Caenorhabditis elegans: one gene and its partners. The protein of the gene in region 2 purifies or fractionates together with the protein of the main gene of each other region. This does not show direct contact. Each region holds a gene or a part of one and is shown on either strand. Other genes may lie near its edges.

What was found.
Region 1: the proteins of acox-1.1 (region 2) and elpc-4 fractionate together in Caenorhabditis elegans (co-fractionation; one large-scale study listed by BioGRID). This does not show direct contact.
Region 3: the proteins of acox-1.1 (region 2) and Y47D3A.14 fractionate together in Caenorhabditis elegans (co-fractionation; one large-scale study listed by BioGRID). This does not show direct contact.

What each region holds. Positions count from the first base shown.
Region 1 is NC_003282.8:8,014,010-8,020,098, forward strand, and holds elpc-4 (Elongator complex protein 4), read left to right. Parts: upstream 1-2,984; 5' UTR 2,985-2,994; coding exon 2,995-3,130; intron 3,131-3,205; coding exon 3,206-3,616; intron 3,617-3,666; coding exon 3,667-4,124; 3' UTR 4,125-4,212; downstream 4,213-6,089. Other genes in the region: C26B2.8 (C3H1-type domain-containing protein), read left to right, coding at 284-344, 393-514, 560-653, 766-924, 969-1,030, 1,074-1,209, 1,260-1,388, 1,435-1,628; C26B2.7 (Cytochrome c oxidase assembly protein COX20, mitochondrial), read left to right, coding at 2,271-2,371, 2,422-2,524, 2,579-2,782; dnc-4 (Dynactin subunit 4), read right to left, coding at 4,294-4,510, 4,555-4,796, 4,841-5,273, 5,320-5,437, 5,483-5,610, 5,676-5,779.
Region 2 is NC_003279.8:12,935,325-12,944,040, reverse strand, and holds acox-1.1 (Acyl-coenzyme A oxidase acox-1.1), read right to left. Parts: upstream 5,487-8,716; 5' UTR 5,480-5,486; coding exon 5,363-5,479; intron 5,309-5,362; coding exon 5,118-5,308; exon of another isoform or gene 4,739-5,117; coding exon 4,064-4,738; intron 3,490-4,063; coding exon 3,225-3,489; intron 3,178-3,224; coding exon 2,827-3,177; intron 2,396-2,826; coding exon 2,114-2,395; intron 2,065-2,113; coding exon 1,921-2,064; 3' UTR 1,817-1,920; downstream 1-1,816. Other genes in the region: Acyl-coenzyme A oxidase acox-1.2, read right to left, coding at 1-499, 766-956, 1,623-1,733; tag-138 (ENTH domain-containing protein), read right to left, coding at 6,789-6,877, 6,992-7,103, 7,378-7,757. UniProt on the Caenorhabditis elegans protein: Involved in the first step of peroxisomal beta-oxidation by catalyzing the desaturation of fatty acid-derived side chains.
Region 3 is NC_003281.10:11,233,321-11,239,666, reverse strand, and holds Y47D3A.14 (CMP/dCMP-type deaminase domain-containing protein), read left to right. Parts: upstream 1-2,798; 5' UTR 2,799-2,811; coding exon 2,812-2,861; intron 2,862-2,930; coding exon 2,931-3,033; intron 3,034-3,084; coding exon 3,085-3,237; intron 3,238-3,285; coding exon 3,286-3,486; intron 3,487-3,532; coding exon 3,533-3,761; intron 3,762-3,930; coding exon 3,931-4,058; 3' UTR 4,059-4,086; downstream 4,087-6,346. Other genes in the region: aakb-2 (Association with the SNF1 complex (ASC) domain-containing protein), read right to left, coding at 1,580-1,856, 1,908-2,302, 2,364-2,516; Y47D3A.34 (AcidPPc domain-containing protein), read left to right, coding at 4,806-4,951, 5,492-5,635, 5,685-5,876, 6,238-6,334.

The DNA of each region.
Region 1 (6,089 bases), on a different chromosome or scaffold from region 2:
AGATATTTCCCTGCGTTCACACCCTTTCTTTGTCTATCCTAGTACCCATGAGAACCGTCAGATAACGCCGAGTTTTTTTTTGGAAATCGATTTCATATTCCAAGTTTGGTCAACAAGAATGTGTTGGGCATCATGTTTGCGAGCGGATTTGGATTGGCACGTAAATATAAACAAACGCTTCCTGCTCGAGGTGCGACCATGGGCTCCGCGGTATATAAATCACCGAGAAATGCTACATTTCATAGCCGTCTTCCTTATTTGTTTTTTGCCAGCTATCGATAACATGCTCAACACGGTTTTTATTATGCTACTTCTCCCCGCAGCAGGATTATGTGCTAGATACAGTAAGATTGAAATTCAAAGTTAGGCTGTGTTTACAGTGAAAATTCTAGATTCACACCTCGTCAAAGGATGGTCCAATTCGGATTGTGTTCGCCCTTGGCAACAACCGTTAATGAGTAAACCAACATTAAGAATACCATCGAGAGCTATCGAATGCCATCCAGAAGAACACGTAGGTCTATTTTATGAAGAGTTCAATAATCAGAACCAATTACAGGATTGTCCAACAGGAAGAAATGCGGTATGCCAATACTCATTAAGAAGTCAGAAATATGTCTGCTGTGAGGACAAGAAAGATGCCGACATCCCGAGTGAGTTGACGCGACGATCTCTTTGACACATTGCCGTCTTCCTCCCGCCACGTGTCAAAGAGACCGCACGTATCTCTCATACTTCCGGTACGATCTAATATTCTTCTTTCAGCATGTCCAAAGTTCTATGAGACTCTTCTCTTGCCATGTGGGAATTCAGTTGATTCGCAATGCCCACGTGGATACCGATGTCTGGGAAGTCTCGGAGATGATTCGGTTAAACTTTGCTGCAAACCTAACAGAACATTAGAATACAGAGAACCAGAACACAGTAGGTGGCTGAGATAAAAGAATAAGGACATAATATTATTACAGCATTCCGAGAGAATCGAATTGTCCCTCGTCTGTTGCCAGTTGCTCCGGCATATGAACTAATTGTATGTTAAATGATGAATATAATACTAAACAACTTGATTGTAGGCAACCTTTAGCGACGAACAAATATCGATGGGTCAACTTTTCGACGCTGATATACTGGACAAACTTGCAGATCCTCCAGTCATGTCAGCAGGAGTTGAACTTCAAGACGAGAAGCTCTATACAATTATACTTGCAGGTTTTTTTGCTACAGTTAATTACAGGTATAATAAGCATTGTTATTGACAGATGCTACCTCAAAGGCTGTCACTTGGCTGGTTGCAAATATTGCGGCATTTGATGGACAGCTTGAGATTCATAGAAGAACAAAGTCTGCTGTGTCTTATCAACCCCCAGATTCTACTGATAGACCAGTTGGTAAGCTCGAATATATTTTTTCGTAATCTTAAACACAAAATTTAAGGAATGCACACCATGATTCTTGCGCTCTATGAGCAGAATGACACGTGGACACAGAAAGATTTGGCTAGAATTGCAATGGATGATTTCAACTTTACAGAATGGCTTGAAGAATATGCCCATGTACTTCCTGCACAGGCACTTGCAGCAACATTTTATGGATATTCTACTAAAAAGGACGATAGAAAACGAATCTAATTTATAATAACTTAAGATTCCTATTTATGTACAAATTTTAATATATAAAAAGAATGAAACATACGATAAAAAGTTACTAAAAAATAATTAAAATGAGAAAAAAAAACAATGTTAAAATTAGCGGCGAAAAGCTAGATTATTTACGATAAACAACATGCGCGCCCGTCATTTCGGAGTCTCGTAGTTTCAACAATCTTTTTTTTTGAGGCCCCACGAAAAGGGGAGCAGAACGAAAAGGGGATCTGAAAAAAGGGGATCTGCGAAAAGGGGAGATACGAAAAGGGGAGATACGAAAAGGGGAGCAACGAAAAGGGGATCTGACACTGTGCCAAACGCTATTTTTCTCGAAGAAAACGATACAACGATGCTCCGATGTTACGCGTCGCGTGTTGTTAAGCGTATCTTCTAGAAGAAAATTTCAAAAATCAACGTGCGTTGCGTGAGAAAAATTGCGTTTTGTGCGTTTGGCACAGTGCCAGCTCCCCTTTTCGTTGCTCCCCTTTTCGTATCTCCCCTTTTCGTATCTCCCCTTTTCGCAGATCCCCTTTTTGCAGATCCCCTTTTCGTTCTGCTCCCCTTTTCGTGGGGCCTCTTTTTTGAGGAAATTAATTTTATAAAATTATTTTGAATTTCCTTTTTAAGATGCTTCGCATTATCCAACGTATTCCTACTGAACGATATCTCTGTACTCTTCCTGTGAAAAATCCAAAGCTTCACAGAACTAAAGATCAGAGAGATATTACGTAAGATTATGCTTTTTTAAACCTTCAAGTTTTTAATCAACAATTTTCAGAAACATGGACTTACTTGAAGAACAAATTCGTATTAAAAGCGCAGAAAAAAATCGCGAAATGACAATACAAGGACAGAAAGTGAAATGGGCTTATCGATCAGAGGTAAATTATATATACTGAAGAATATTCTAAAAACTGATTTAAATTGATTTCCAGCTTGTCGGCCGACATGACCTCGATAAAAATCATCGTAATACATGGATGGCTTACCTAATCATTATTCTTGTCGGATTCGGTGCGTTTGTAACAGTGAAATCTCAGGTGGTAATGGGTCGACGCCAGGAAATGGATGCTCGCGAAGCTCTCAGAAAGGAGCTGCAATTGAGTGGAGACGATCGAAAAAAGATTGGAGTAGTCTGATAATAATTCATATTGTTTTATTGCGGGTTTCTTTATATATTTTTTAGTTAGAACCCTATTTTTGTTTTTAGAAATAATAATTAGTTTGTTTAAATCTCATTTTTCTTTTCTGTTTCTCAAATTACATTATGGTTTGGTAATAACCTTGCAAATATTTTTATCGTAATTTCCTGGTCAACATCAATATTTCATATTTTTAAAGTAATTTCAGAATGTTGAACGTTGGTGATAGTGTTCAAATTGCCGGATGTTCAACAAAGAAACGCTTACTGGAAACTTCAAGTGGTTGCGATTCATTTGACACACTCATTGGAGGAGCTTTAGTTAATTCAAGTATTGTTCTCATAGGTAATTTATTAATTTAGTTGCTACCTGTTCATTAAATACCCGCTAACCTAAAATTAAAATCACATTCATTTTCAGACGAGTATCGTTCTCGTTGCTATGGATCTTATCTCATTCGTTCATTCCTCGCAGAAGGACTTCATCATGGTCATCGATGCTTCATTGCGGATCCCACGGAAGATCCCAAAGAGATCAATCTCATACCATCTAGAAGAACATCCACGGATATGCAAAATCAAGAAATTCCAAATTCTCTGCCGGCAGAAAATGAAAACTCGATGAAAATTGCGTGGCGGTATGGAAATGTAAAACAAGTTTCCTCTTCCCTTGGACCATTAAGCAACGAAAATCAGTATGACTTTACGAAGCATGTAGAGAATCCGAATGTTGACGTGTATGCGGAGAAAGTTTTTACGCTAAAAGGGATTTACGAGACGCTCTGCCAAATTGTAAAAGAAAATGAAGCTCACACAAAATCCGGCGGAAGAGGTGAGATTTTTATTGAATTATTATACATAAACTAATGAATTTTACTTCAGGTGGACCGAAAAAGAATCTTCTTCGAGTGGTTCTGAAGAATATCGATATGGAAATTTGTGAAGATTACAAGTTCCTTGGCCGATTCCTGTGCTGTCTCCGATCTTTAGCTCGTTCGAGTTACATGATTGTATACATCACGGCTAACTCCTTCAGAGTTCCGAAACCAACTTGGCGTATACTGGAATCCGCAGCTGATACACATATTCAACTGATGCCGTTTGATGAAAATGAGAAGAAAATGTTCAAACATCTTGGCACTGCTCATGGATACTTCCATTTGAAGAGTTTGCCCCGATTGATGTCCGTTGGAACACACACTCCACCGATTCTCGATCTTATTTTTGAAGCAAGTTCCAGAAAAGGTTTCCAAATTCGAGTGATGCATCTTCCACCTGCATTTGATGAGCCAGCTCCAGGTCATCAAAATACTCCATCTTGCCAGAATATTGATTTTTGATTTTCTCGATCATGTTTATTTGTTGTTGGGATGTTTGAATGTTGAATTTTAAAGTATTTAATTTAAAGCATAAAAACGTCTTCTAAATATTTAACAAAGCTTATAAATTATGTTTAAGAAAAGACACGCTGTGGTAGAGAAAGGATAGAAACAAATATACATGAAATGATTATCTGAGATCTACTTTTAAATTAGCAGAGAGAATTGGATCAGGACACGTTTCTTCTGGTTTCAATATTTTGTCACTAGCGGAGGAGAGACGGAACGATCCATCCTGACAATATGTAATCAAAAGATTGAGACATGGAGAAGAGAGATCCATCTCGGTGGGAATAACATCCAGTCGAAGGCCAACTCGGTTGTGCTGTCGGAACACGATGACGTCACTGGAATACCATTTTTAGTCAATTAAAAACAAGAAAAAACTAACCTTTGGTCAGCATGAACTCCAGGAGCAGCAGTATCCGATGCTCGCGATGATGGAAGAAGAAGCTGGATTGGATCACTGGAACATTGAATGAAACCATTTCCAGATTGAGGTGCGATAGTCAAATCCATTGCAGATGATGATAAGTTGGTAATAGAGAGAAATACGTGTGATGTCTCCCCAACTTTAAGATCATCAACCGGTCGAGACATTCTGATGTCAGGAACAAATTGACGGGCAAATGACTGAAATTTAAACTTTTTACATTATTGTTGAATGAGCTACTCACCGAAATTTTAAATTTAAAGGTAGTAACTCCGAAGTCTCGTTTGATAAGAGTTCTTTCGCACTCATCACATCGAACTTGAACTCTTCCAGCCAGAGGAACTTGTACAGGAAGGAGTGGCTCAGAGATATTGATCAATGGTTGCATTATGATTTGATCGAGAGTTCTCAGATCATCCGTTCTTTCTTTAATCTCATCTTCAAGAGTCGGCGCTTCTGTTGGAGCATGTGCATCAACTGGATTCATTTCAGGAGCCAGTGCTTTTTTCCGCTTATCTACCATTTGTTGAAATCCAAACTTGTCTTTCAAGTGAAAAGCAGTCCAGGCTTTGCCCGATTTTCCCTTTTTCAAATCTTTTGGAGCATTTTCAATCAATTCAAGTCTCTTCATGTATGCCGTCACCTCACCAAGTTGATTAACCAATGGATTTTCTTTTCTGTATAAATAAAATGTCATAAGATCATATTTACAGTTAGTCATACGTTGGCCAGGATTTAGTATTCTCTTGATCTTCTTGATTCGCTTCTCTTGAAGACCAACGACAGTACTGACAAACCAAATATACATTATCATTTTCTGTACGAGCACTCAGAACGTTAGCTGAAAATATTCAAATATATTTACAAAATAGTGGATAAATCATACCACACTTAGGACAATCATTGCAACTTGCGCATTTATGCTTTTTAAGTCTTGCTTCAGGGACGCTTGATGGTTCAAGGCATCGAGGACAGAAAATATTGTCAACTTCTCCCAAGCTACAGTCATCACACCTGGAAAAGTTGGTTAATTTTTTTTTTCAATTATTTTTAGACAATTACCCATTAAAAAAACTTACTTAATTTTGAAGCAATATCGGCAGAAAACAAGGTCCGGAAGGGTTCGAAATTTTCCACAGGTGCACTCGTATTTGATTCGACTGTACTGCAGCAACTCGCTCATATTGAGAACCGCAACCGCTCCTAAATGTTAAATTTTTAATTCGAAAATTTGAAAAAGTAGCAGTTTAATGTTATTTTAATCACAAAAATTAATGTTAAACTTAAATAATTATTTTTGTAAAAAAAACTATTTCACAACACGATCTCGTCCCTCGGCCGCGCTGAGATTTCTCGGCCACAGTATCGCACTCTCTCCTTTTAACATGGTCTCTCGCACGAGAAATTAGTACCCGCACAACTGGAATACGGAAAACTCAATTAATGTTGAAAATGCATATAAATAAATACGAAGGTTATTGAGGATGGAACAC
Region 2 (8,716 bases):
ATGTCTCATCAAAAGATTTGTTCGTGGAACTCTCAAGTTGTTCAACCCAAGGTACCCATTATCCGCCGCATTGAAGTTCATTTTAGGCCCGATATCTCCTACGGTAACGCCTTTTAGTGGAATATGGGTTTTTTCATCTCTCAGCTGCACCATAAAAAAGTGGGGGCCATAGTTATTTCTCTTTATAATCAGTTCAGCTACAACCAATGCATAGTTACAGCTCTTCCCAAGTGCTCCAGGCCACCACTTCAACGCCGTTGTCGTAGGAGTATGTAGTACAAACTCCTGGGAAGCAATGTCATAGACTGCAGTTGTTTCAAGATTCCTAAGATTTGAGCCGTGACCGAGCTCAGTTTGCGCATAACATCCAATGATCTCTCGTCGCCGAGCTCTCTCGAGCCATTTCTCCTGCTGTTCATCACTAGCCTGTGACTGAAGGGTTGGAATAAACAAAGCGTCATGGAGAGCGAAGGGATGACCCTCGTAGCCAATCACTTCTCTGGAAAGTGGGAATTTACCTGATTGTGAGAAAAGTTTAAAGGAAAAGTGGCAAACATTTGAGGTTTATTTTTTCAAAATTTTTCATGGAAGCTCTTGACGGAAATCGGTAGGCGCTAGCATATACTTCAGAACAAAGTTGCAAGCAAGCAGATAAACAATACTGTACCAGTTAACAAATTTTCTATAAACCTAAATAAAACCGACGTATGAGACAATTAAGTGAGATCTACCAAATCACACTGAATTTGAAAAGAAAATCCTTACCGATGCAGGTGCAAACTTTCTTCTTCATTATCTCTATCAATCAGCTGATTCAGATATTTTGTCAAAATCGATATTTTTCTGGTGCCCTCGGTCACCTTCTCCTCTCGAGTCAAAAATGGATAGGGCTTGATGTCGGCGAGCTCAGGGATCTTGGACACGGCGTCGGTGATCTCACGACGGCGACGAGCGAACTGAACAAATAATTTTCTATGTATTAAGACAGTTTTTTTTTCATTTAATAAGTTGACAATTAATTATTTCAAAAAAAAATGCAATCAACCAAAGTGAGGCACCAAAGTTTGAATCATTCGAAACATGGTGCATCGACGGGGATAATTTCCCTCATAAACTATGATAGTTCATTTCCCTGTTTCTTTACTGTCCAAAATCTTGATACATATGTATGTTCATGGTTTGCTGAAACCTTTACACACTACTAGAAACATTGACTTTTGCACTTTCCTGCTGATTGACAGAATATGTATTTCGTTTTATGGTCTCTATCTCTCAGAAAAAATAGTGGCTATCTAATCTTACCTAATAAAAAAAATTTTTCCGACAAAGGGAAAACGACGAAAATTGATTTTTGTGGAATTACAGGGATTTTATTGTTCAATGCCACGTGGTGGAACATGTCGTTCTAACTGATTAAGTTATACGGTGCGAAACATACATGGTCTCCACTTAAGGTATACAATATTTTTCAAGAACATGTATGTATACATTCCATTGTGCTTTAAAACATTATAAAATTTCAGCTTTGATAACTCTTGATTCATACTAAAATTATGTATAATCTGATTTTCTATTAGCCTAATAAAGCTTGTAATCAATAGTTTGTAGTTTGCAGTCCTTACCTCTTCACTTCCATAGATCACCGCTGCCATCTTATCCGTATCAAAAGTTGCCATCCTCCGTTCTTCCAGCAATTCGGGGTTATCTCCATCACGAATTGATCGGTTCGCCATGTTACTGATATCAACAAAAAAGAAGAATGGATGGATGAACTGATGGAAAGGGTATAAAAGGAGTGATGGGCGGAGTTGTGATTATTGGCCTGTACTATTTATAAGTGCAATGTTTGCATTTTCAAATATTTAACAGTATAAGCAAAGAGTATGCAAGAGAAAAAAAAATCAAAAATATAAATTAGAATTATAGCTTGCTCTGCCTGGCTTTTTCCATCATTGGCTTCAAATATGTATCCACTGACGGAAGAACATCTGTCTTGTTCAACGGACTTTCCTTTGCCCACTTGAAAAGGTTCTCGTAGACATGACCATCACGGCGGCCTAGGACCTGAAATTTCAGTTATTTAATTTTAGAACCCATTAGCTTTGGAACTTACAGATCTCAGCTCTCTATCACTAAACTCCCAGGAATCTAGCAATGAAACTGCGTTTGGTCGAATTTTCTGGAGATAGAAGTACAATTGATCTCTGACATAATCCAACTGAGTGGATGACATGAATCCATCTTCCAGTGCATACGTGGCAACATCCAAAAGTTCATAGTTGACGTGAAGATGGAGGAGATCGCTGAGAGCCTCTTTGATGGTGATATCTCCGATTTCGTTGACTCGTCTGGCAAAGGCTTCGACGATGAAGAGGCGGGTGTGGAGGCGACTCGCCTAGAAATATATACTTTTCGGACTTTTAATTTTAAGAGTGTCGCTTTTGTTACAATGTCTTAAGCTAGTGTGTTCAGAATCTTTAGTCATCTTTAACTTTAAATACGGCTCTGGTATCTAGTATGCACCCTAATATAGAGCCCAAAAAAGGTTTCGGATTTACAAAATTCTACCAGATTTCACCAGTTTTTGCTACATAGCAAATGCACTTTTCCAACATTTTGGTGTTTGAACTAATTTTCCTAGTAAGGTTGCAGGGACAACTGATAAGAATTCAATGATTGTTGACAAATATTGATAAACAAGCTCAAAAGTGCATCTAAAGTTTTGCAGGTTTTGCATTTTCTGCAAGGAAATGGGCAAATGGACATCAAGGCCACAATGTACCATCACTCGTATTCTCAAAAATCACAAGCATAAGTCAAACATACCCTATTCAACTCCACGGATGACTTGTTCCAGGCGATTTCTCTCTTTTCTCCATTCTCCATTAATCCGAAGAACTTGTTGGCAGCCTTCAACGTCTGTCTCTTTGCGATATGTTGGAATGTCTTGATGTATTCCGTGATTCCACCATTTGGAACTCTATCTATCAGGCTAGTTGGCTCACTTCTGGCGCCCAAGTAGGCTACCAGTGGTCCAAGCTGAGAAGCTTTTCCGGACTTCACAAGGGCAGCGGATTTGACGAGGTAACGAGCGAGTTGAAGAAGCATAACCATATTTTCTCCTTCATACGTGCATCCTCCAATTGCAACTCCGTAGATTTCAGAGATGTAACTAGCCTGAAACATTCCTTTAGAATTTGCAATTTCAATTATAACATTCCTACCATAGAATATCCATGCCCACCACAAGCCATTCTCGCTTGTTCGATACCTTCTCCAGTTTGATGAGTAACAACTGATTTTAAACCAGAAGTCAATGCATGTAAGTCAGCCATAAGAGACACATTTCCAGATTTCATCTCCTTGAGTACTCGTTCGTAAAGCTTCACGGTCTCGGCACCAGCAAACTGGAAAGCGTAGGCACGGGCGATGAATGGGAAGAGACGGTGCTGCTGGGTTTGGTACTCGAGCACTTTTACCTCTGGTTCACTGGAAAGAGGATAAGTGAGGATGGGGTTTGCAAGTAATTAAGTTTCTCGTAATTCGCACGTGGTGTCAAAGTGTCCCATTTTGGTTTGTTCTACGAAAAATGCGGGAGAAGAGATGCAGATTTTTCAACTGATTTTGCGTGATGACGTCACATTTTCCTGGGGGAAAATTCCCGCATTTTTTGTTGATCAAACGTAACATTTTTCGTAACATTTACGTTGTATTGTTTAACAGGCGTAATTCATATCGTAGTTCGTAATTCGTAACAGTAACAAAACTGAGAAGTTATGTAAGTTGTGAGTGGCACAGCGAAGTCTGTTATTTACGGAACTTCTATATATAAAGGTAATAGACGTACTACATAGGTATGCACATAAAAGTATTGATGTATAGTTATAGTTATGATCATTCTTACTAAAGACGAATCTATTTTCAAGCCATGAAATAAGCTTTTTAGTTATGAAAAATATATTTAGAGATAGCTCAACCCAAGAAATTCAACCTATAACCCTTTTTTATTTTACTAATAGTAGTTGGTATTCTTCAGATCTTATTCATAAAAGTTCCAACTTACTTTTTATCAATCTGCCCCTGTCTTCTCACTGCCGAGTATCTTGTTGCAATATTCAACGCATACGACAACATAATCGCCTGTCCAGTAAGCATATAACTTCTCACATGTACCATTGCAGAGTAATTGATCTTTGCATGTGGTGGTTTGATATAAGTCCCGTCAGCCTCTACTTTGGTATGTCTCATCAAAAGATTCGTTCTTGGGATACGGTAGTTGTTGAAGCCTAGGAATCCATTGTCTACAATATTATAAGCCATTTTTGGTCCAATATCTCCAATTGTAATCCCTGGAAGTGGTTTGTGAGTTTTCTCGTCTCTCAATGGAACCATGAAGGTATGTGGTCCAAAGTTCTTTCCCTTTATATACATATGTGCAACTACAACTGCATAGTTGCTGCTTTTTCCAAGATTCCCTGGCCACCACTTCAATGCGGTGATCTTTGGAGTGTGAAGCACAAACTCCTGAGTTCCAATGTCATAAGTAGCAGTTGTTTCCAGATTTTGAAGATTTGTGCCATGACCCATTTCAGTTTGGGCGTAGGTTCCGATGATTTCTCGTCGGAGCGCTCGAATGAGCCACTTGGCTTGCTGCTCATCACTAGCTTGAGCGTTGAGGGCTGGAATGAACATCACACCGTGAAGAGCCATAGGATTTCCTTCGATTCCGAGAACTTCGCTGGAAAATTATTGATTTTCTGGGAAAATGCTCAGTTTGAAGAGCTCTTTCATTATTAAACTTGTATTTTTGTATTATTCTACTTTGATTTTTGATATGATAAACTAAAGTACAGTGAGCGTAACTTCTTTAGAATCGCCCTTAATCTGGATGGTTTCGCACGTAAAAAAAAAATGAAAGTTCGGCGATGTTTTCAAAAATCTCATGAGATCCCAAAGAATTGCTTTTCCTTATTTTTACGTTATCATAATAAAATTTTTGTACCAAAAACTATTTCATATGCTGAATCTGATTTCTAAATTAATTTTCCATGTAATTTTAGGAAAAATCCTAAGCCTGTCAAACGAAGGGTATTAGTCCAAGAAAAAAGTCCACTTACTTGTTCAAATGATACAACTCGCCTGCATCAGTTGGATCAATGATCTCTGACATTCTTTGTGTCAAAACCGTCAGTTTCCTAGCACTTTCCATAATTTTCTCCTCTCTTGTCATATACGGAAGTGGCATCGAGTCATGGAGCTCTGGGATTTCTGCAAGCTTCGCGGTGATCTCACGACGACGACGGGCGCGCTGGAAACATTAGAGACAGTTATTCAAATATTCCATTTTGACTAGATAGCTTACCATTTCTCCCCCATAAATCTGTGCAGCCATCGCATGAGTATCAAATGTTGCCGTCAAGCGTTCGGCAGTGAGATCCGGGTTATCACCCTCCTGAATTGTTTTGTTGAGATGCACCATACTAAAACTGACAAAGTTTTAAAAATTTGAAAAAAAAACATATGTGGTTGAAATTGATAAGTACGAAGTACTACAAAGTTAAAAAATATCAATAAGTTGTACGAAAATTGAAACTCTTGGCTCGAATCTAACGCAGCGGTTCAAAAAGTATTACACCTGCCATGACAGTTAAAACTTAGACTTATAAAAATGCATCTACAAAAAAAAGAGGAAATACGGTATCTTAGTGAAACTTAAATATATGAAAAAATGAATTACAGAAGCTGCATGTAATTGGCAAGAGCTTCAGATCAGTTTCTTCGAGAGCTTGATCTTATTTTTAGCCTATTTTTTATATTATATCTCAGTTTAATTTGGAAATACCGTATCTACATTACACAACTATAGTTACTGTAAAAAAAGATCTGTTAGATTACATATTTCGTCTCATATCCCAGTTAGGGCACTGTTAGCAGAAAAGTTGTAAAAAATATACAAAAAAGTATTTCTTATCAAAAAGAAGCCTGTCTAGAAAAAGAGCTCATAAATCGTTCAACTTAACACCTGCAATACTAACAATTTGAAAAAAAAACCACTGAATATAAATTCAGTTTTTCTACCTGCCTCTGCACTCAATTTAAATGATAAGAAGACGAGAGAATGATCATCAAAACCAAAAGAGAAATAGAAGACGAAAGGAGGAGGTGATAACTCTCTTATCACCACACCACATTGTACCGTCCATTTTCCAATCATTTATGTCCATTGACTACAGTGTAGTCACGGAACGTGATATTGAAAATTGCATGGGAAGGGGGAATTGGAAGAAGTCATGTAACATGTAGGCTATATTGTGACTCTCATAGTCAGAATTTTGAACCAGTGAATTGACAAAAAGTGATAACATTAGAAAAGGGGGATAAAAATTATGTAGGCAGAGAAAGTGATGTATTCTGTGTGGAAGAAACTGTGATCTTTTGATAAAATTTCTCAAAGTTGAAGTCAGTTTAATCATCAGCTAGTTTAATATTATTTTGTAATTAACGAAGAAATCGCGTCTGTTGGGATTTTTGTTCTGAAGTTGGTCGGTTTATTATCGGATTTTTGTTTTATTCTGTTCTGCTCTTGATCAATAAACGTTACCTTAAAATTGACCTCATTTGTACATTCCGGTATTTTTTAAAAATTTCATATCGGTTAGCTTTGTGAAAAGCTGGATATCCAGTAATAGTATTAAAATACATTTATTGTTAATGAAATATTAAATGAATGTAAACATGCTGAGATGTTCTACTTTGAGTGGAGTAATGATGATTATGAAAAGTTCCTTTTAAAATTTAATGCTGAACTCATCCGGAGGAGTGTCATAGATAGCCGCTTGATTTTGAGTCCTAGAAGCATCGCGGAGTGCCAACTCGTCTGAAAGTAACTTTATTTGAAAACCATATTTAGAAATCAGGCACGTGCTCCTGCCTGCCTAGGTGCCTGTATACATTCTAATACCGGTGCCGTCTGAGGAAAATTAAAACAAACATCTGAGTCTCTGAACCTCCTCTCGATTTTCATCAGCTTCTCGTCTCACATGCTGGAATTCCCCGTGCATTTCTTTTAAACGGTTTTCATAATGTTCAATTCGGGTGCGGGCCTGAAAAACCGGGAAAATGTTTTTACTGTGACTATTCCTCTTTGTTGAACTTATAGTACATGACTCTAACTCTAGGCATAACTGGTGTCACCAATTTCTTGAGATTAATCGAACCCTGTCATGAAATTGAACCTAAAGCTGTTCAAAAATATTTACGCGGTAAACTAAAATTTGAATGAATGTGCTACTTTTTAGAAAAGTTTCACTTATTTTTCCCACTTCTACGTGTGTTCACTGAATCGCTATAACATTACTGTTGTATAAAGAATCTCACCTCTTCTGCTGGTGTTACTGTTTCAGTCAGTTTCTTGGATTCTCCAATTAGATATGTTTGATAAGATTCAAGATCTGACTGTGTAAAAAAGTTAGGTGCATGCAATGGAAATGTTGGAATTTGAACAAAACATCTAAAATACTGATGTTTTGAGCACTCTTCGTAGAATTGTTTAGTTTTCTCGAAAATTGTCTGAAATCGGGAACGATAGCCTTCCAATTCGTGTGGCGACACGTTACTGTGCAGATTGTACATCATTCTGACGATATAAATAAAGAATGGCCAGGTATCCATTATTACACTTATCAGAGGAAGCATCAGGCATTGACCTTGTGGAGTATTAGGATCCCATCGTGGAGATGAGTTGGACAATAGATATACTGAAATGCACCAATAAGTGTCAAAGGTGTGGCAATTGAGTTTTTGAATCCCCATGTAATTCCAAAGACGATTCAAATACGCGTTACCACTCAATAAGTATAATTATCATATATATATATACAGTCCACGTTTCAGGCCCTCTGGTGCCATTGGCACTCCATGGATCTGCGAATTGGGGCAAAATTGTTCTATGGTTGTAGGAAAAGCTACTGTGCACCGAAATTCACTCAAATTTATTAATGTGCTGTTCAACTTCTTCTCAAAAATTGTAAATTTTTGAAAAATCATCAAAAAATCGAGGGTGGCGTATAGAAGTTGTACGGCCAATTTTTCGATTTATTGAACATTGTTTTAATTATTGAGGTAAGGTCATGAAAATTTGGGCCTATACGTTTTTTAAGATTTGGAATCGAATGGCATCAACAGAAATTTTTTTAAAAGCACAGACGTGGCCACAGGCATAAATTTAGAGGGTGGCGTATAGAACTTGTACGCACTGTATATATATACCAGCCGTTCGCACGCGCTGAAGCGCGTGCTCCGACTGGCGTACTCAAAATTGAAATCAAATTCTAAATTTTCTAAGCCTTCTTTGCAGATGGAACGTTTTTTCCTGTTTTCCGGAAATTTTCGAGCAACATAAATATTATATAACTAAGTTCTGAGCAATTACAACTTAAAACCTCAATTTTTCCTGGAACTATTTCTAAATTTCTTGAACGTATAATTTTCTCTACGTTCTTCAAATCATATGAAACATTTTCCGGTCCTTTCCGAAAGTTTTTGGCGAGAATATAAATATTATTTTCAGATGGAACAAACTTTTTTCTACACTTCTATATCTATTTTAGATTTAAAAAAAAGTTAGATTATCATAAAAATTACCGCACATCCCAGAATATTGCTGCCAAAAGCGGGTATTCCGGGATAGAGAAAATACCTACTCGTGAGAAATTGT
Region 3 (6,346 bases), on a different chromosome or scaffold from region 2:
ACTGACAAAAAGGTAATTTGAACGATTTTTAGATTAAAATCTGCATTTTTATGTGGATTTTTAGTTAAATTTCGATTTTGGTATACATTTTACGAGTTTCAGGCAAATTTCCGCTCTGAAATCGATTTTTTTGATCAGAAAATCATTGATTTTATTATTTTTTGGCCTAAAAATCCGCATTTTGAAGTTTATTTTCAGTGCAAATTTAGTTTTGGTGAATTTTTTCCTAAAAAAAACGACTAAACGTGGGATTTTTTAGCTAAAAATCCCTATTTTTGTCGCAAAAAATCGAAATTCGCAGTTACAGAGTCAAATGACGAAGATTTTCAGCTAAAAAATGATTAAAAAGCACTAAAAGCATCAAGCGTGGGCGAGCACAATTTTCAATTAAAAAAAAACACACACAAACATAGATATACAAGTACCGTGCGAAACGGCTACTGTAGCTCAAGCCAGCAAAAGGGGAAAAATCGATGAAAAATGTATTAAAGGGACAGAAAACTACGAGACAGAATCTTTTTTGAGGCGAAAAAAATAAAAAAAAATCAAAAAAGAAAGTGGAAAAAAAAACAAGAAACGAGGGAGATGGTGAACAAATTGGAATGTCAAATTATTCACAGTGGATTTTTTAAAAGAAACTGATTTCAAAAATTAGGGCTTCCATGGTAGGCAGGCGCGGTTTCAGACGTCTGCCTGAAACCTGTCCGCCTCACTTTTGCCTATTCTCTGCGTTTTGACGTGAATTTTTGGCGGGAGGCAGGCGGAGGTCGCCTACATGAAAGCCCAAGAAAAATACGAGAAAAATAGGAAAAATAAAGCTGTTGGAAGTAGAAGAAGAAGAAAAGGGGCAGGGAAACATTGAGAATTGGTATATACACTCAGCTGATTGGTAGTGTGGTAAAAGTGGGTTCCAAGGGGGCAGACCGTATTAAATAAGAGTTGGCTACGACGTTTTTCGTTTCTTAAAACACTATTGGAAATAGAACAGAAAGAAAATTAATGGGGGAAAAAGAGGCGACTATAATACAAAAACTAAAGAGTGGGAGAAAATTTTGGAACTTTGGTCTCGGGAGCTTGAAAAATCAAGATTTTTCTACAAAAAATCCAAAAAAATCGAGATTTTTCAATTTTGAAGCACGACCAATCAGGGCTTAGCTCCGCCCACTTTTCAACCAATCACAACCCCATGGCGCGGTTTTTGCTGTCTTTTTGTGTTTAATCGATTTTTTTTCGGTTTTTTTCCCCGAATTTTGCAACGGAAAACAACAATTTTTGTCTTTATTCCTGAAAAAAGATGATGCAAAACGATAAGTTTATGTCGTTTTGCTTAATTTTTTTCAGAAATAGAGACAAAAAAGGCTATATTTTGGGAAAAATGGTAGATTTCTATTTAAAAATAGTTAAAAACACTTTTTTTAAAAGAATATAATCGAGCGAAATCAAGAAATTTTGAATTAAAAATAGGAAAAACCGTACCGCAGTATGATTGGTTCAATAGTGGGCGGAGCTAATCGCTGATTAGTCAGGGCATTTTTTTCGATTTTTTTCAACAAAAAACCCCACAAAACAAGAAAAACAGTTAGACAGGCTTGTAGAGAAGAGTGGTGACGAACTTCTTGCGATAGCGTTGCGTCGATGAGAGCACCATAACGCTGTCCTTGATGGAGAGCGCGTACATGTGGTTGAGCATCACATGATTCGGCTCCGGCAGCACATTCGGATCGCATGACTCGGGCGTCTCCTTGTTGAGAAGCACCTGCATGAGTTGTGGTGGAATTACTGGTGGTCCGGCTGCCTTCCGAAGCATATCCATTGATGGGATCTCTTGGGTGAAGGAGCGCAGTTTTTCGAGCTCTCTGAAAAAGTTTTTTTTAGTTTTTTAGTGAACATTTCTGAAGTTTTCTCACCTGTCATTCGGAGTATCATGATTCTTGGTGCTCTCCGACTCGCCACGGAGCACCTCCCCGGCTGTAGATGACTGGAAGTCTTCATCCAGCGCTTCGAAAACTGCAAAATCCGAGTCTTGAATATTGATCATATTGTTCTCATTTCCATGAACGTCCTGTGCCTTTCCCTGATTATCGTCGACGACCCACGAGCCGTCCACTTGGAATTTGTACTCGTATTGTCCGGGTTGCAGGTCGATGATTGTCGAAAAGTCGTTTGTCGACTTTACCATCGGGATCCGCGTCTGCCAGTTATCCCATGATCCAACGATATGGACGACACGTGGCTGTGCGTTTTGTGTGAAACTCCAGCGGAATACCACTGGGCATTCGCCGGATTTGTCCTCATTTCCGTCCTGAAAATATTGAAAAATAATTTAAAAAAGGAATTTTTGGGATTTTTTGTGAAAATCTCACATCAAAAATCATCGGCGGTCCTCCATCCGGGTTCGGGAGTACTTGTCCGGCGATTTTTGCCGTTTCGCTCATCATCCGATGCCTTCGGAGGCCCGCCTTGTCGTTTGGGCCTCCATAGCGGGCGTCGGGCCCTCCAGACTGATTGTTGCCCATTTTCTTCTGGAATTTTCGCAATAAATCGATGAAATAAGGTGGAAAGAAGATTGAGAATTGAAAAAATGTGAGAAATCTCGGAAAAACCGACGAAAATTGATAAAAGTGACGGGATTAAAAATAAATAAACAGCTGCAAAATGCACATGATTCGGGTGCGGCGCGGAAATGTGGGCGGGGCGGAGGCAGGCAATGCCGCCGCACACTTTTTTCCATATTTATTTTTTGGATTTATTTATTTAATTTTTGCCGTTTTATCTATTTTTAAACAGTTTTTTTTCAGATTTGCAAGGAAAATGTCACTGGAAGAGCCTCCGGAAAAAATTAGAAAAATCGATACGATGAGGTAAGCCGTAAAAACCATTTTTGAAATAAAAATCCTCAAAAATCCTCAAAAACAACAACAAAATTCCAGAATTAAAGTCTACCCAATTCTGGATTCAACTCTCACTTGCGACACAATCCCATCGACTTCCTTCCAAGCTTTACGACTTGAAAACAAGAAAATTATTGGGACAGTAGGGAAACTTACCCTTTCCCCAAAATTAGTCGAAATTCTATATTTTCAGATTATCAGGCGACTTCCAGAACTTCCAGAAGAGCTTTCACACTTGAAAAGAGTCGGAAAAGACGGAAGTGTGCTGATAGCAGAGTCGGAGGAAGTCGCAAAGCTTATCGTGGGAAAGTTGGAGGACGCAGAAGCTCGGGTGGAAGATTTAGTGGTAGAAAATCAAAAAAAATCTGAAAATTCCTAATTTTTCAATTTTCAGCCAGTAAAAGTCGCGAGAACCAAGCCACAGACCCGACGGCAATTCCAAGTGGCTAAGGAGCTCTGGCCAACAGGATTTCACCCGAATCATGAGCTCGAGCAACTTCTAGACGGCTCTTTTCTCACAGAATCGCTGAAAAAATACGTGGATCGATGGCTCGGCGAAGCTGCTCGGCTGGGGGATGGTTGTATAGCTGTGCAGGTAATTTGCACCGCCTGAAAAATCCAAAAAATCCAAAAAATTCCAGAACGACGAGCTCCTCTCCACGGGCCGCCCGTCTTCCCATCCACTCGGCCACCCGGTAATGGAAATGGTTGGAAATCTGCCGAAAAGACACGGCGATGACTATCTTGGCACCGGATCCGACGTTTTCCTCATCACGGAGCCCTGTGCAATGTGCTCAATGGCTTTGGTGCATTTTCGTGTGAAGCGGGTTTTTTACGCGCGGAATTCCCGGAATGGCGTGTTGAAAGAAGGTTTGAAATGGAGAAATATTGAGAAAAAACCAGAAAAATTCATTTTTCCCACTGATTGCATATGAAAATTTAGAAATTTTTGGGTGAAAATCAACAAAATTCAATTTTTAAAAAACTTTTTTCATTTAAATTTCTCGATTTTCGTGTCAAAATTAAAATTAATTTTTAGACGGCTGGCAACTGCACCTGGAGCCCTCCATCAACCACCACTACGAGGTTTTTCGTGTTGAAGGCCTTCTGGATAATAATTATATTGTTGATAATTCTGACCGTTTTTGTTCCAATATTCAATTGTGAAGTTTTTTTTTTAATAAAAAAACAATACAAAATTGGTGGCCGAGTTCTTTACATCTCACGGCCACGTAGAGCTCAATCAGTGGAAATTACAGAAAGTTTCGAGTTTTGTTAATTTTTCATGTGAAATTGTAGTCTCTTTGTAGATTTTTTCCCAACTTCAGAGGTTTTAAATGTTTTTTGCATTAAAATCACCCCTACAGTACCCATATAATACACCTACAGTACCCCTACGGTACCCTGCAGTACAGTAAGCCAACAGTACCCCTATATTACCCTTACAGTATGACTACAGTACCCCTACAGTACCCTGCAGTACAGTAATCATACAGTACACCTATGATACCCCTACATTGCTCCCACAGCATGACTACAGTACCCCTACAGTACCCGTAACGTACCCATACAGTTCCCACATCGTACTTCTAGCAACTGTACCTTCCTGCAGCATACCGTTTATGTCAAACTACAGTTATTCTACAGTTTCTAAAATCTATCTACAGTATCTGCAGATCATCTTTCAAACGTGAAATGGATATTTTAGATATTGAAAAGCATTAGCCTTCTCCTTTTTCCTGAAAAAAAAGGTTTCCCAAGAAATCCCAACCTAAAATCGAATTTGCCGGCGGGTTCACACAATCCACAAAACAATCCGTTTACCCCGTACTCCTCCTCCTTTTGTCAAGAATTCACCCCGCAAAAAGTTTCAATTTTGCTCAAGCTTTCACTTTCCCTACTTTTCCAGGAAAAATGCACCCGAAAGTCAAAAAATCCTGGGAAATTTTGAAAATCTGCGTGTTTTTTCTGACGCTGTTCACTTTACTGTTTGCCACGTCGATTATCAATTTCTATCTGACACCTAGATTTTCAGGGCTCTGCGATTTTTATGATTATGGGTGAGTTTGTTGGTAAAAATTGATTTTTTTAATTTTGGAAATAAAATATTACTATACAGATGTGGACTAGTACTTTTTTTTATATTTTTTTTAGTAGGCTAGGGTTACTGTGGAGTACTGTAACATTGCGGGGGTACTGTAGTAGGCTTAGGGTTACGATTCTGGCTACTGTAGGATTACTGTAGTTTAAGGTTCATATATTCTGCCAGTTCTGTGATGTGTGTGATGGTTTAGTAGTACTGTAGGTATACCGTAGGGTTACTGTAGCTTGGGAAATTTTAGCTTTTGTCTATAGAAGAGGTGTTGGGTTGGAAGTTGGTGGGGGATCATGTCAAGGTTCTGTAGTGGTACTGTAGGGGTACTGTAGGTATACGGTAGGGCTACTGTAGGCTAATGATACTGTAGAGCCACGACCTGAAACTGTATAAATAGGTACCTAGAGTAGCCGTTGCCTACCGTAACCATATAGGATCGTGGCCCTGTAGTACCATTGGCCTACCGTAATATCATAAATGTAAGGTTACTGTAGGATTACTGTAGAATTTTGTTTTTCATAAATGCCACGTCATCGGACGTTACAAAAGAGGAATGTGAATCTCAGCGCCGGGCTACCATATTATTCATCGTTTTCTGTCTGGTTCGGCTGATTTCCAATAAATTCGAGAATTTTATCGGGACTAAATTGTGAGTTATCGACTTTTTTTTGGATTGTTTGCAAACCTTTGATTTGCAGCCTAAGAACCTGCTCGGTGCGTTCCACATTTCCTGGTCGACATTTTGGAGCTGCTCTCGGCTTCCCGTACCTTACAAGAAGCCTATCGAAAAGCATTCGAGTCGGCAGTGCACCTGTATTTCTTGTGATTATATTTGCGTCGACGTCTATCGCTTTTTATCCGTATGCCAAAGATTTTTCGAAACTAAGCAGGCGAGTTGGACAAGTTTGCAAATTAGCGGGCTTGTGAAGTGTCGGCTGCCAGCAGAAACCCGGTGAGACGTCGGCTGCTAATTGTAAAACCGTGAGGTGTCGGCTGAGAACCTATTGGTCGCCAACTACCAAACCGCGAGATGTCGGTTGCATCCGCTCATAAAACGTCAGCTGCAAGTTATCGAAATGTCGGCCGCCAACACTGCCTACCAACCCGTGAGGCGTCGGCTGCTTCCCCCTAATCTCACAAAATGGAAGTTTCCGCATTGCGAAAAATACTTCTAGTAGTAAAATTTGATGAGAAATTCAAATTTTTGATTGAAAATTCCAAAAAAGTCATTTTAAAACCTAAACATTTCAGATTAATCTACAACGCTGTTCAACGAAGGCACTACCTGTATAATCGCTCGATGATTCTAACTTTTATATCGATTTATTTCTATTTCTCGACAGTTTTGGTAGGTTTTAAT